Rattus norvegicus: one gene and its partners. The protein of the gene in region 3 purifies or fractionates together with the protein of the main gene of each other region. This does not show direct contact. Links are inferred from orthologs where the notes say so. Each region holds a gene or a part of one and is shown on either strand. Other genes may lie near its edges.

The links. The genes of interacting proteins can lie anywhere in the genome.
Region 1: the proteins of Hspa12a (region 3) and Akap12 purify together in Homo sapiens (affinity purification with mass spectrometry; 3 studies listed by BioGRID and IntAct, with this or other methods). This does not show direct contact. The link is inferred for Rattus norvegicus from reciprocal best matches to the Homo sapiens genes HSPA12A and AKAP12.
Region 2: the proteins of Hspa12a (region 3) and Epb41l3 purify together in Homo sapiens (affinity purification with mass spectrometry; 4 studies listed by BioGRID and IntAct, with this or other methods). This does not show direct contact. The link is inferred for Rattus norvegicus from reciprocal best matches to the Homo sapiens genes HSPA12A and EPB41L3.

What each region holds. Positions count from the first base shown.
Region 1 is NC_086019.1:43,133,990-43,137,735, forward strand, and holds the start of Akap12 (A-kinase anchor protein 12), read left to right. Parts: upstream 1-1,525; 5' UTR 1,526-1,681; coding exon 1,682-1,831; intron 1,832-3,746. UniProt on the Homo sapiens protein: Anchoring protein that mediates the subcellular compartmentation of protein kinase A (PKA) and protein kinase C (PKC).
Region 2 is NC_086027.1:116,582,353-116,586,082, reverse strand, and holds the start of Epb41l3 (band 4.1-like protein 3), read right to left. Parts: upstream 2,824-3,730; 5' UTR 2,618-2,823; intron 1-2,617. UniProt on the Homo sapiens protein: Tumor suppressor that inhibits cell proliferation and promotes apoptosis. Modulates the activity of protein arginine N-methyltransferases, including PRMT3 and PRMT5.
Region 3 is NC_086019.1:267,925,979-267,929,624, reverse strand, and holds part of Hspa12a (heat shock 70 kDa protein 12A), read left to right. Parts: intron 1-2,575; coding exon 2,576-2,679; intron 2,680-3,608; coding exon 3,609-3,646. UniProt on the Homo sapiens protein: Adapter protein for SORL1, but not SORT1. Delays SORL1 internalization and affects SORL1 subcellular localization.

The DNA.
Region 1 (3,746 bases), about 220 Mb from region 3:
TTCTCCAAACAGTCCAAATTTAAATTGAAGCAGGGTGTGGTCTCGCAAGTCTGTACTGTCTTCCCTCCAGGGACTGAGGCTAGAGAGCTTACGGCTAGCCTGGACTAGATTGTGAGAAATTCTGTCTGAACAAACAAAACAAACCGAGGTAGGTGACATACTTACAAATAACCAAAAGCAACTTGAAAGTCTGTTACCAAATGAATAAACCCTAAAGAAATTGTCCTTCGGAAATAAATTGAGAAAACAAATTTTATCTCGAAAAACGAGTGGTCCCCAATATGCATTGATATGACAGCTAATAAGGACTAAATGATAATAGCTAAATGAATGTCTCCATTGACACTCAAGTAATCTGTAATCAAATCTGGAGACGAAATATTATCTGGCATCTAGGTTCAATGCTCTTACTGGGTTTAAATCATTAATTCCTTCATTCATCCACAGAGTCTTGCATTGTGGCTCTGAGGCTCAATGAAACTCATTATCCAAGCCATGCTGGCCTCAGGCTCAAGCTGGACCCTCCTACCTCGGCCACTGGAGCACATCAGGCTCACCTGACATCAGTTCATCTTTTCTTCCTAGCCTTTTCATGCTTAATGACGGGTAATCTAACAAAATTTCAATTTAAGTCAAAGACTTGTTGGCGGCTGTGTTAATACAATGAGTACTTAATCGAGCGGAGGAAAAAAACAGACAGGCTCCTTCTTTGAATTCTTTCAAAATCTTCAATGTTTTGATAGTGGCAATGGCGACTAAGCAGACCTAAGTCAACGTGGTGTTTAAGCGTCGGGAGAGAAGGGTGGCCTGGATGTGTAACCTTCAGCATCAGACGCTCAAAGGACAGGCACATTTCCAGTAACAGCTTCATTTCCCCGCATTCCCCCGGGAAAGAGGGCGGCGAGTTCTGTTGATGGCATCAGCTGACATCACTGGCTGGGATCATGGGGACGCTGGGCCCACCTCAGCGGTGGCCTGACTGCATCAACCTCTGGGTTTCCCAGCCCCTGCCACGTGAGCCGCCCTAATATGGCCAGGCTCAGGAGCAGCCTAGGAGCGCTTCCTTTCTCCCGGCTGAAGGAGAGAAAGCTAGAACAAATGCTTAAAGTCAAACACAACCTGAAGAAAAGCAAATGGGGATTTAGATTCGCACCAGGTCAAATGCAAATCCATGGGCTGCAGAAGATCCAACCTTGGGTTATCAATCATTAAATTAAAAAAACAAAGCTTTTGCCTCCGCCCTTTCTTTTGCTGCTCCTGAACCTTCTGCAGCCCCAGGACAGACCCCAAAGCTCTTGTTCCCTTTAGTGACCTGAGAAGCCCTGGGGGCGGGGTGGGTTGCTGGGGGCCTGGTGGCGGAGTCTCTGGTCCTAGCTGCCTAGGGGGAGATGCTGCAAGGCGTGTCTGGGCTGTGCTCATGTGATGAAGGGAGGGAAAAACAAGGAGGGGGGAGGAGGCTACGAGGTGGCTTTTTTTTTTTTTTTTTTTTTTTTTCTTTTAAGGAGTTTGCCACGAGCGCGTCCCCTTCATTCTCAGTCCGGGTACGTTCTCAGCAGGATCGCAGAGAGCCGGAGCTCTTCACCCTTAGTCCCTGTGGTCCTGGGCGCACATCCTTGCCCTTCTGCGTCTCCGCGGTCCCAGGAAGGCAGCTAGCCGGCGGGAGTAGAAGAGCCACTGAGCCATGGGCGCAGGCAGTTCCACCGAGCAGCGGAGCCCCGAGCAGCCGGCGGGGAGCGACACGCCGAGCGAGCTGGTGCTCAGTGGCCATGGGCCCGCAGCTGAAGCCTCGGGAGCAGCTGGAGACCCCGCCGACGCGGACCCCGCCACCAAGGTAAGCTGCGGCCACCTGCCCGGGTGGGGCGGGATGGAGATGGGGCGTCCTGGCGGTTTCCGCCTGCCACAACTTCCCGGCGTTGCAGCCCATCTGCAAACTCGAGCGCAGCCCTTTGCAGTCTCTGGGGTCTTTTGCACCGGGGCGGGGCTGGCATCTTTGTGGAGGGTTTCTAAGGGCGGCGACCTAGCCAGCCCTTCTGCAGCCAGCAAATCTGCCCCTGCCCACTGTTCTCCAGTCTTTCTTCTCTCTTCCGGTGGGCTTGCAGCCTGCGGGGGTGGGGAGGGATGACCCGTGGGGCATCCATAAGAATTGACCGTGGCCGGGCATCTTAAGCCACTTTATACACCCCCTAGATCCCAGAGAGGGAAAGTCGGGACCTGCTTTGAAGCAGAGCAAACCTAGGTCCTAGGGTCCCCGCCCAGTGTTGGCCTTGATACCAGCCTCCACCCGGGCCACCAGGTTTGGTACCCAGAGTCCTGCGGCAGCGCCTGGGACACCGCCTAGCTGATGCAGAGAGCAGGCGTGTAGAAGAGAGAACCGGAGCAGAAGCACCAATGGAGAGATAGGCAAAGCTGGAGTCCTGTCTCCCTTTCTCACAGTTTGCTGTCTGTGGACTCAGTTGGATAAACAAACATAGGAGTTAGAAGTTCTGCATGGATGCGGGCAAAGGCTTAAGTGATCGTTCCTTGCACTCTTTCTGTAGAATTCACTGTAAAGCTCTAGAAATATGGCATTTTATAGGATGCTTGGCTTGAGCCTGGAATATTTGACCCTGCCCACCACAGCCTCACGTTGTGTCTTGCTCTCGTTATTGTGTTTTATTTCTGTCCCCTTGTTATTGTTCAGGGTTGTTAATTAATTTGCTCACTTGTTTTAAGACAGGGCTTCACTCCGTAGCCCAGACTGGCTTGGAACTCACTAGCTAGCCCAACTAGTGGCAGTCCTCCTGCCTCAGCCTCTCAAATGACTTTGTAGCCACACCCAGCTGGCAACGTATTTTAGCTATTTCCCTGCACGTGTTTGTGAGCAAGACCTCGCTCGGGTGGATTTATGGTAATCGTACAGAAACATGTGAACAACCAAACAACTTAAACGAAAAAACCACCAATTGCTGAATTTGGTGATCAAGAGCAGCGAGGACCTTTAGGAATGGGTCAGGAAGTGTAAACATCTTTGTGTGAGGACAAAACATTGAGATCCAGGTAAATCTCACAGAGATGGGATCTGATAGCTTTGAGTTCTTTAGTTGCCTAGTATAATGTAGGCTGAGTGGCCTATCTTTAATTGTTTCTGCCTCCAGTTTTTAACTCATCACCACTTGTAAAATCCAAATAAAGTCCTCCCTGCCTCAGACGCTCAGGTTTTCTGAGAGGCTTCTGACACACAGTCTCCATCTTTTGGATGGTTTGGTTACATTTTAATATTTGTCTAACACTCCTTTAAAAGAAAAAATTACTTTTTTTTTCTTTTCTTTTTTTCGGAGCTGGGGACCGAACCCAGGGCCTTCCGCTTGCTAGGCAAGTGCTCTACCGCTGAGCTAAATCCCCAACCCCAAAAAATTACTTTTTGAGGAGTACACTTGTGCATGGTTTGCGGGTGCTTGGGGGAGCGGTGGGGGAGCGGGGGTGGGGGCGGCAAATGTGTCATGGTGCGCATGTGCAGAGGTCAGCGCTTGTGCGGAGGTCAGAGGCCCGCTCTGTGGGGTTAGTTCTCTCCCTCCACCTTTATGTGGGTTGTGGGGTCGAACTCATGTTGCCAGCTTTGCACAGCAAGCACTCATTCTCGCTAAACCATGTCACTGTCCCTCACCATGTTTTGACGACAATCACCTTCCGTAACCTGCGTTCCCCTTCTCCATCAACCTCAACCACCATCTTGAAACACCCAAGCAGTCTCTTTTAAAAGATGGTTT
Region 2 (3,730 bases), on a different chromosome or scaffold from region 3:
GTACTTGGAAAAGACTCTGAGGACGGAATTATTAAGATGGCCAGCGTACTCCACTTATGACACCTCTCTTCCGTTATACTTGAACTCTCACCAGAAGAAAATATTTCTCAGGCTACTCTGGGACCAGGTCCACTTTCACTGCCATGCAATCACCAATTTGCACTTATCAACTGTAGAACTTCTGCGGCGCTAACTTTAAAAAGATGGCCGCACTGGCCTACAAGAGGGGAAAGCAAAGCTAAGCCAATCTCTCCACACTCACTCCAGCTCAGCCACCAAGGGCAGCAGCAACAGCTCTCTGAGGTCACAGGTGTCTGCTGCCTCTCTGCACCCTACCTTAGTGCACCCTACCTCAGTGCACCCTACCTCAGTGCGCCCTACCTCAGTGCACCCTTAGTGGCTTTGCCACTGGGTTTTCTTTAAAATAAGGTTTTCTCATAATTTATCTGTGTTTATTTTATGTGCGTTGATGTTTCCTCTACATGCCTGTCTCTGTGAAGATGTAGGGTCCCCTGAAAATGGAGTTATGGACAGTTGTGAACTGCCATGTGGTTGCTGGGAATTGAATCAGGGTCTTCTGGTACTGACTCATCTCTTTCAACCCTGACATCAGAGTTTTAAAAAGACACACACACACACACACACACACACACACACACACACACACACCCAGTCAAGAGAAATAAACTCGAATCTTGTATTTCCACAGAAACCAAAGTTGGCCTCAGTCCAAGGACCCAGTGGGAACTGGCAAATGCACTCTCTAATCTAAACCATATTTACACCTAAGGAACTTCCTAAAAATTAAATGTAAATATGTCACGGGACACTGGCCTTTGACCTTTAGCTCTACAGTCCTTGGCCTAAAGGTGTTTACGCGCTACAGAGGTCGCTCTTCTGGTTTCCGATAAACCTCTCAGAACACAGGCTCTGTTTCTGAAAGAACTTGCTGCGAGACCAGTTCACGCAGTTGCTTGTGCTTCTAATTATCTTGCTTCTCTAAACCGTTGGGGGAAAAAAAATCATAGTGTAAATAATTCAATACTAGGCATTCAGCTTATTCGATCAGTGTTTTGAAAACTAACAAGGGAGAAGCATGCTTCTTCAATTTAGAGATTATTTCCGCTCACAGTAACTTTGTTACTCCAAACAAAGGTTTAAAGGTTGATGCCACAAGGACCATGCAAGTCAAAGACAACAGTAAGGACCACTGCTGAGTCAAGATTAGGATCATCAAATCCCTTCCTTGTCCTCAGGTTCACTCCTGCGGAGCCCCACTAGACAGTAATGGCGCTGCATTCATGGCCTCCGGATATACGTGGAGTTTCATCAATTTTGTTTCATGGAGGATTTAAAAGGCCGAGTAAGATGCAAAAAAGAAATTTCTTTTTAGCACCGTACATCATGACTCCTTTTCTTGGTTAAGTTATGCTACCAAGAGTAACTCTCAGAACATCCAATCGCCCTATAGATCCCGAAAAGGGCCCCTGAAAACCACAGCCAAGGATGTCTGCAAAAGCAATTCCATAAAGTAATGTAAAAAAAAAAAAAAAAAAAAAAAAGCTGAAACGCCAACTTAAACACGTAATGGAAGCATTGCGTTATATTAGCAGGACTGCCTGGCCCTCTCAGGACTGCTCAGACTCCGTGCTTAATTAATACCACATGTTCCCTTTATCATTCGATTTGTTCTGTAGCACTCTTCCCAACTTGAACCCTGTTCTGCAAAGACAGGAGGGTAAATCCCCCCGCGACCTCCAAGAAAACTTCAGATCAGTAAATCTAAAAGGAGAAAGGGCAAGAATGCTCCCACCAGAAGGACCACACTTACAATCTGAGAGGTAACCACACCCACCGCATTGCAGAAGCTGTGAACTTGGCACCCGGTGCAGGGGGTAGGGGGAAGGGGAAGAAGTAGGGCGCGATTAGAGAGCAACCCGAAAAAGCAAGCCCCCCTGGTGCAGGAGCCTAGGCGCGCCACTCGCAACTAGTAGGGATCCGAGTCCTGCGGCCCCCCAGCCTCCCCGCCCCCACCCCTCCCTCGACCCGCAGTCCGGAGGGCGCCAGGTGAGCCGCGCCCGCCCGGGTGCACTGGTCTGCAGGCCCGGGCGCGTTCCCGCCCCATGCAGGGAGCCGTCCCAGGGGCGCGCGGCCGGCAGGTGCCCAGGCCCGGAGCAACCTGGCTGGCCGGCCAACGGCCCGGGGACGCTGGCCACTCGGGGAAGGAGGCAAGTTACGTAAAACCGGCCGGCCCCGCCGCGGAGCCGAGATGCTCCGAGCTCCGCCGCGCCCGCCCAGGGCAGGGACGCAGAGGCAGCCGCAGCCTGCAGGCGCACAGCCCCTCCCGCGCACAGTCCCCGGCCTGGCGCCGCAGTGTCGCCCCGAGCCCCCGCAAGCTCCGAACATGGCGCCCCGACCCTGGGCTCCGCGCCGATGGCTAGAGAGGGGCGCAGGGCCCGGTCGCCCCCGGGGGCCGGAGCTCGGAGGGAGGCCCCCAGGGCGGAGGCCGAGCTAGGCGAACGCAGCGCAGCGCAGCGCACCGGGGTCCCGGAGCCCCGCGCGCCTCGGAAGTGAGCCCCCCTCGGAGCCCCTCGGCCGCCAAGGGCAGAAAAGTTACCTGGGGGAGACGCGAAGGCCGGGCGCGCCGCGGCGTGGGGACCGGGCTGGCGCTGGCGTCCTGCTCGGCGGTGCGCAGGAGACTCCGCGCGGGAGGAAGCCGCAGCTCAGGGCTCCCCCGCCCCCCTTTGCAGGAGGCACGGAGGCTCCGCGGAGCTGCGGCGGGGCCCACGCCCAGACACCAGAGCGAGGGAGGCCAACCTCGTCCCGGCTTCCCTCCCGCGCGGGGGAGGGGGCCGCCGCAGTTCTTTAGGACACCTAGGTCCTCTAGATCCTAGCTCTGGGGACCGCGACCGCGTAGCAGTAGCCTTTGGATTTCACTTGGAATATTACAGGGCCTCTGGGTCCCCTCCACTCCCTTTGCAGAACCCCGCAGGGAGAGTGGAGAGAGGCTTTTTTTTTTCTTTGACCTTCCGGTGAATTCTTTATGGGCTTGGGAACTGCAGTATCTCCCCTCCCTGCCCCCAACCCTCCCGTTTTGAAATTGGAAGCGTCTTACACAGGTTCAATACTCCAGATATTTAAGTTCCTAGAGAAGACCCGAGTTAATTAGGATGGTAACTAGGTTTTGGGTCTCTCTGCAGCTCCCTCTTTCCTGGCATCTAGAAAGCTGAAACTGAAATGGAGAGAGAGATAGACATACATCCTGACTTGCTGGTGAAAGAGACTGCTTAGTTCTCTGGTCATCTCACACACACAACTGCCCTGTTTCTTTAAGGCTCCTAAGGCCTTTCTCAAAGCACCTAGTCACTGGCCTGAACTCCTTAAGGGAGGGAAAGAGATTCACGAACTATTGAATTTACTAATGGATGGCATAGATACACTGCAAAATGAATGTCTCCAGCAGAGATGTGTGGTGGCTCCCTCTGTGAGCAGGCCTGAGGAGATAGAGTCTTGGCCTGGGTATCTAGAATAGAGACTATGTCAGTAGAGACTATGTCCATTGCCTTGGCTGGAGAAGAGGGAACTTTGATACCTCTCTGGAAGAGAAGGTTAGGAAATTATGTTACTAGTCTGCTATAGAGTTTAGGGACTTGTGTTCTGTAGATGTGCACCTCTGGGAATTTAAATTCTGAGTGAAGTAGTCTGACATAAGCCATGCTTAAAGAAAAAA
Region 3 (3,646 bases):
TTGCAAATACACAAACATTGAATCTCCGGCAGATTCAAGTTTGAATTTTTGGCAAATTTACTTAATAAGTGGGAGTTTTCTTTTTATAAATTTATGTTTATTACCACTCAGTAATTATATGTAATGACTGTGACATTTTTATGTATGTGCATAGTATATTCTGATTTTACCTCTTGTCTTACTTAGGGTTCCTATTGCTGTAATAAAACACTATGACCAAAGCAAGCTGGGGAGGAAAGGGTTTCATTTTAGAGTTCCAGGTAGCAGTCTGCCATAGAAGGAAGTCAGGACAGAAAGTCAAGCAAGAGAGGAACCCTGGAGGCAGGAACTAAAGCAGAGGCCATGGAGGAGGGCTGCTTACTGGCCTGCTCCTCATGGTTGGCTTATGTCAGCCAGGACCACCTATCTGGGGTGGTTCCACCCACAATGGACTGGGCCCTTCCAGATCAATCACTAGGAAACGCAGGCCCACCTGAGCATTGGTGGTGCACGCCTTTAATACCAGCACTCAGGAAGCAGAGGCAGGCAGATCTCTGAGGCCCGCTTGGTCTACAGAGTGAGTTCCAAGACAATTAGAGCTCCACAAAGGAACCCTGTCTTAGACAACAAAAACCCAAAGCAACAACTAAAGGAAGGAAGGAAGGAAGGAAGGGAGGGAGGGAGGGAGGGAGGGAGGGGAGAGAGAGAGAGAGAGAGAGAGAGAGAGAGAGAGAGAGAGAGAGCGTAAGCAAATAAATGTAGGCCAGTCTGATGGGGACATTTCCTCAGTTAAGGTTCTATCTTTCAAAATGACTCTTGCCCGTGTCAAAGTGATAGAAAACCAGCCAGCACATCCCTCATCACCCTCTCTTGTCCCATTCTCTTCACAACCAGTCCCCTTTACGTGTGTGTGTGTGTGTGTGTGTGTGTGTGTGTGTGTGTCCCAAATTCATTAGAGCTGTGTACAGGAGCATAGGTGAGAAGTTATTTACAGAAACACAGCACCTTACTACTGTGTCGCTGGAAGGCCATCTCTTCCTCTTCAGCAGCCATCACTACTTATAACTCTTAGGGGACAGTAGGGCTTCATGATCCTGCCTCTCCCGTGACAGGATGTTGAAAGCCTGACCTCAGGCAGTTCTGGTGTGGGTGATCACAGCTGCTGCAGGTTCCTGTTTAGTCCCATCGGGGGACATGTGCAAATCTATTTGTCTCTTCTGTTGGATGTTAGCGTCCTCTGATGATCACGGCCCACATTTCATTAGGGATGGGCCTGTGCATGCCTCACTATTGTGTCTCCCCCTTTCTATTTGGTGTGCCTGGAACACTCCTTAAAAAAAAAAAACAGTTATTCCTCTGTGGTTCAGTTACTACAGAAAAGAGAATAAATAGCTATTCATCCTTCTAGTTATTTTTTTTAAAGTGGTTTGGTGGTATACAACTTCAATCCCAGCACTAGAGAGGCAGAAGCAGGAGACTCTGTTTGGGGCCAGCCTGGTCTGCATCGTAAATTCTAGACCAACTAGGGCTAGATGGAATGGTGAGACCCTATCTCAAAAAATAAAGTGGATCCTAGCATCCTTCAAGATGGCACTGAGTTTTATTTTGTAGGGCAATGTGGGCTTAACCATGGGTTCTATATCTTAAAGTGTAATAACTATGGTCTTGTTGATGCTGAGTGTCCCACCTTGGACAGGAATGGCCTCTTCTATGTGGTTCTGAGCCCCTTTGACACAGCAAACAGTCTCTGAAGTATCTTTGCCCTCTGCTCTATGAAGATTCTCCAGATTTACCTCTCGTACTCTCTGCCCCCAAACTGCACTAGGCTGTTTCTCCAAGAAGCCTTGATTCCTTTTAGTGAGAAGCAGTAGGTTTGGTTCAGGTTTTGTGCCCTCTAGACAGGGTCACACCAGGCTGGCTGTCTTACTGGGATGATGTTTTCTTTGCCCTGTTGGTTCCCTGGAGAGAACGCCTGCCCTCCAGGTCAAATCCCAGGTCCTGGGCACACAGTCCCTGGGGCCCTCCAACCCTCTCAGTGTGGAAACTAGCCAGTCACAACCAGACACGGTCGGTCATTCCCCACCACGTACTGTCCTTTGGGTTATACCATGGAAATATGTCCTGGCTGGGGAAGATGGGGTCTCTACTGAGAGTCTGGATAATGAATGGTTTCCAATACTGTTTAGTCCCCAACATAAGTTAAACTAGGGAAAAACCCAAACAACAGCAACATCAAACATTGCTAAGTGTTTCACGGGCATAGCATCTACTTGAACTTCACAGCCTCCCCTGGGAGAGGCACTAAAGTTAGAACTATTAACCTTGGTTCCCAGTCACAGAGACATTGGCCTTCCTTATTCTGGGGGAGTTTGATGCCAGCAACAAAGCAAGGAGAAACGGAGAAGTCATGTCTCAGCTCTAGAGCAGCTGAGGGTCTACGCTCAGGCGGTCAGGGGAATTTCCAAGAATGCCTTTGACTTTAAAACCCTTTTATCCCTGCGGTGGGGACAGATGTTCTCTCAGGCCACACATCTGTGCAGATCAACCTGGCACTGTGCACTTACTCACAGCTTCCTTTTCTTGATGCTCTTCCCAGTGTGGACTTTGTGAAGTGGTCCTCCCAGGGCATGCTAAGGATGAGTCCGGATGCAATGAATGCCCTCTTCAAGCCAACCATCGACAGCATCATCGAGCACCTCAGTGAGTACCGATCGGGTCTTAGCCCCCGTGGGACAGAGTTGGGATAGGGACAGTCCTTACACAGCCCAGTCCAGTGGGGGAATCTGGATCTGGAAGCTACAAGGCTGGATGGAGTGGTTTCATCCCTCAAAATCCTGCTGAGCTGAGGAAGCCGAGGACCTGTCCTTACCTGGGCTTTGCTTTTGACCTTCAAGGTCAGAGGTCAGGGAACTCTGAAGCCGTAATACCCTAGAGTGACAGGGCTTAGGAGTGTATCTTGTTTGAAGTGTCAGGAAATCTTAGGAATCCTTGGCTTACAGGGAAAGAAAGAACTGTTTTGTGAAGCAAGGAAGGATTCCAGCAACACAGGGTCTGTCTGTCAACACAGAGTCTGTCTGTGCTGCCTTCTTGTGTGTTGGGTGTCCTCCCACAGGGATCCCCAGAATCCAAACCCCTCCACATGTCCCTCACCTACCTTTGTGAATACCAGAGACAGTAATGTCTGTAGCTTAGACCACATACTTAGAGGATTACTATTCTTACGAAGAATGAATCCTAATTGAAGTCACCACGACCCTTGACAGCTTGAGATTCCACTTGGCATGGCCCTGGCCTTTGTCCCTAAGCATACAATGTGTATGCTTTCTTCATAAGAACCTTCCTTCAGGGTTGGGGATTTAGCTCAGTGGTAGAGCGCTTGCCTAGCAAGCGCAAGGCCCTGGGTTCGGTCCCCATCTCCGAAAAAAAGAAAAAAAAAGAAAGAAAGAAAAAAAAAAAAGAACCTTCCTTCATAAGACCAGCTCAATCAAAACTGGGTTCAACGAGCTCAGGCATAGCCAGTGCCCAGCTGATGCCCATCGGTCAGCCGACTCCCACAGGCTCAGACAGCGGGGTCCCCCTTTGCTGGCTTGCTTTTGGGTACCTGACCTTCCTCTCGCCTTCCCTTTCAGGAGACCTGTTTCAGAAGCCTGAGGTATCCACCGTCAAG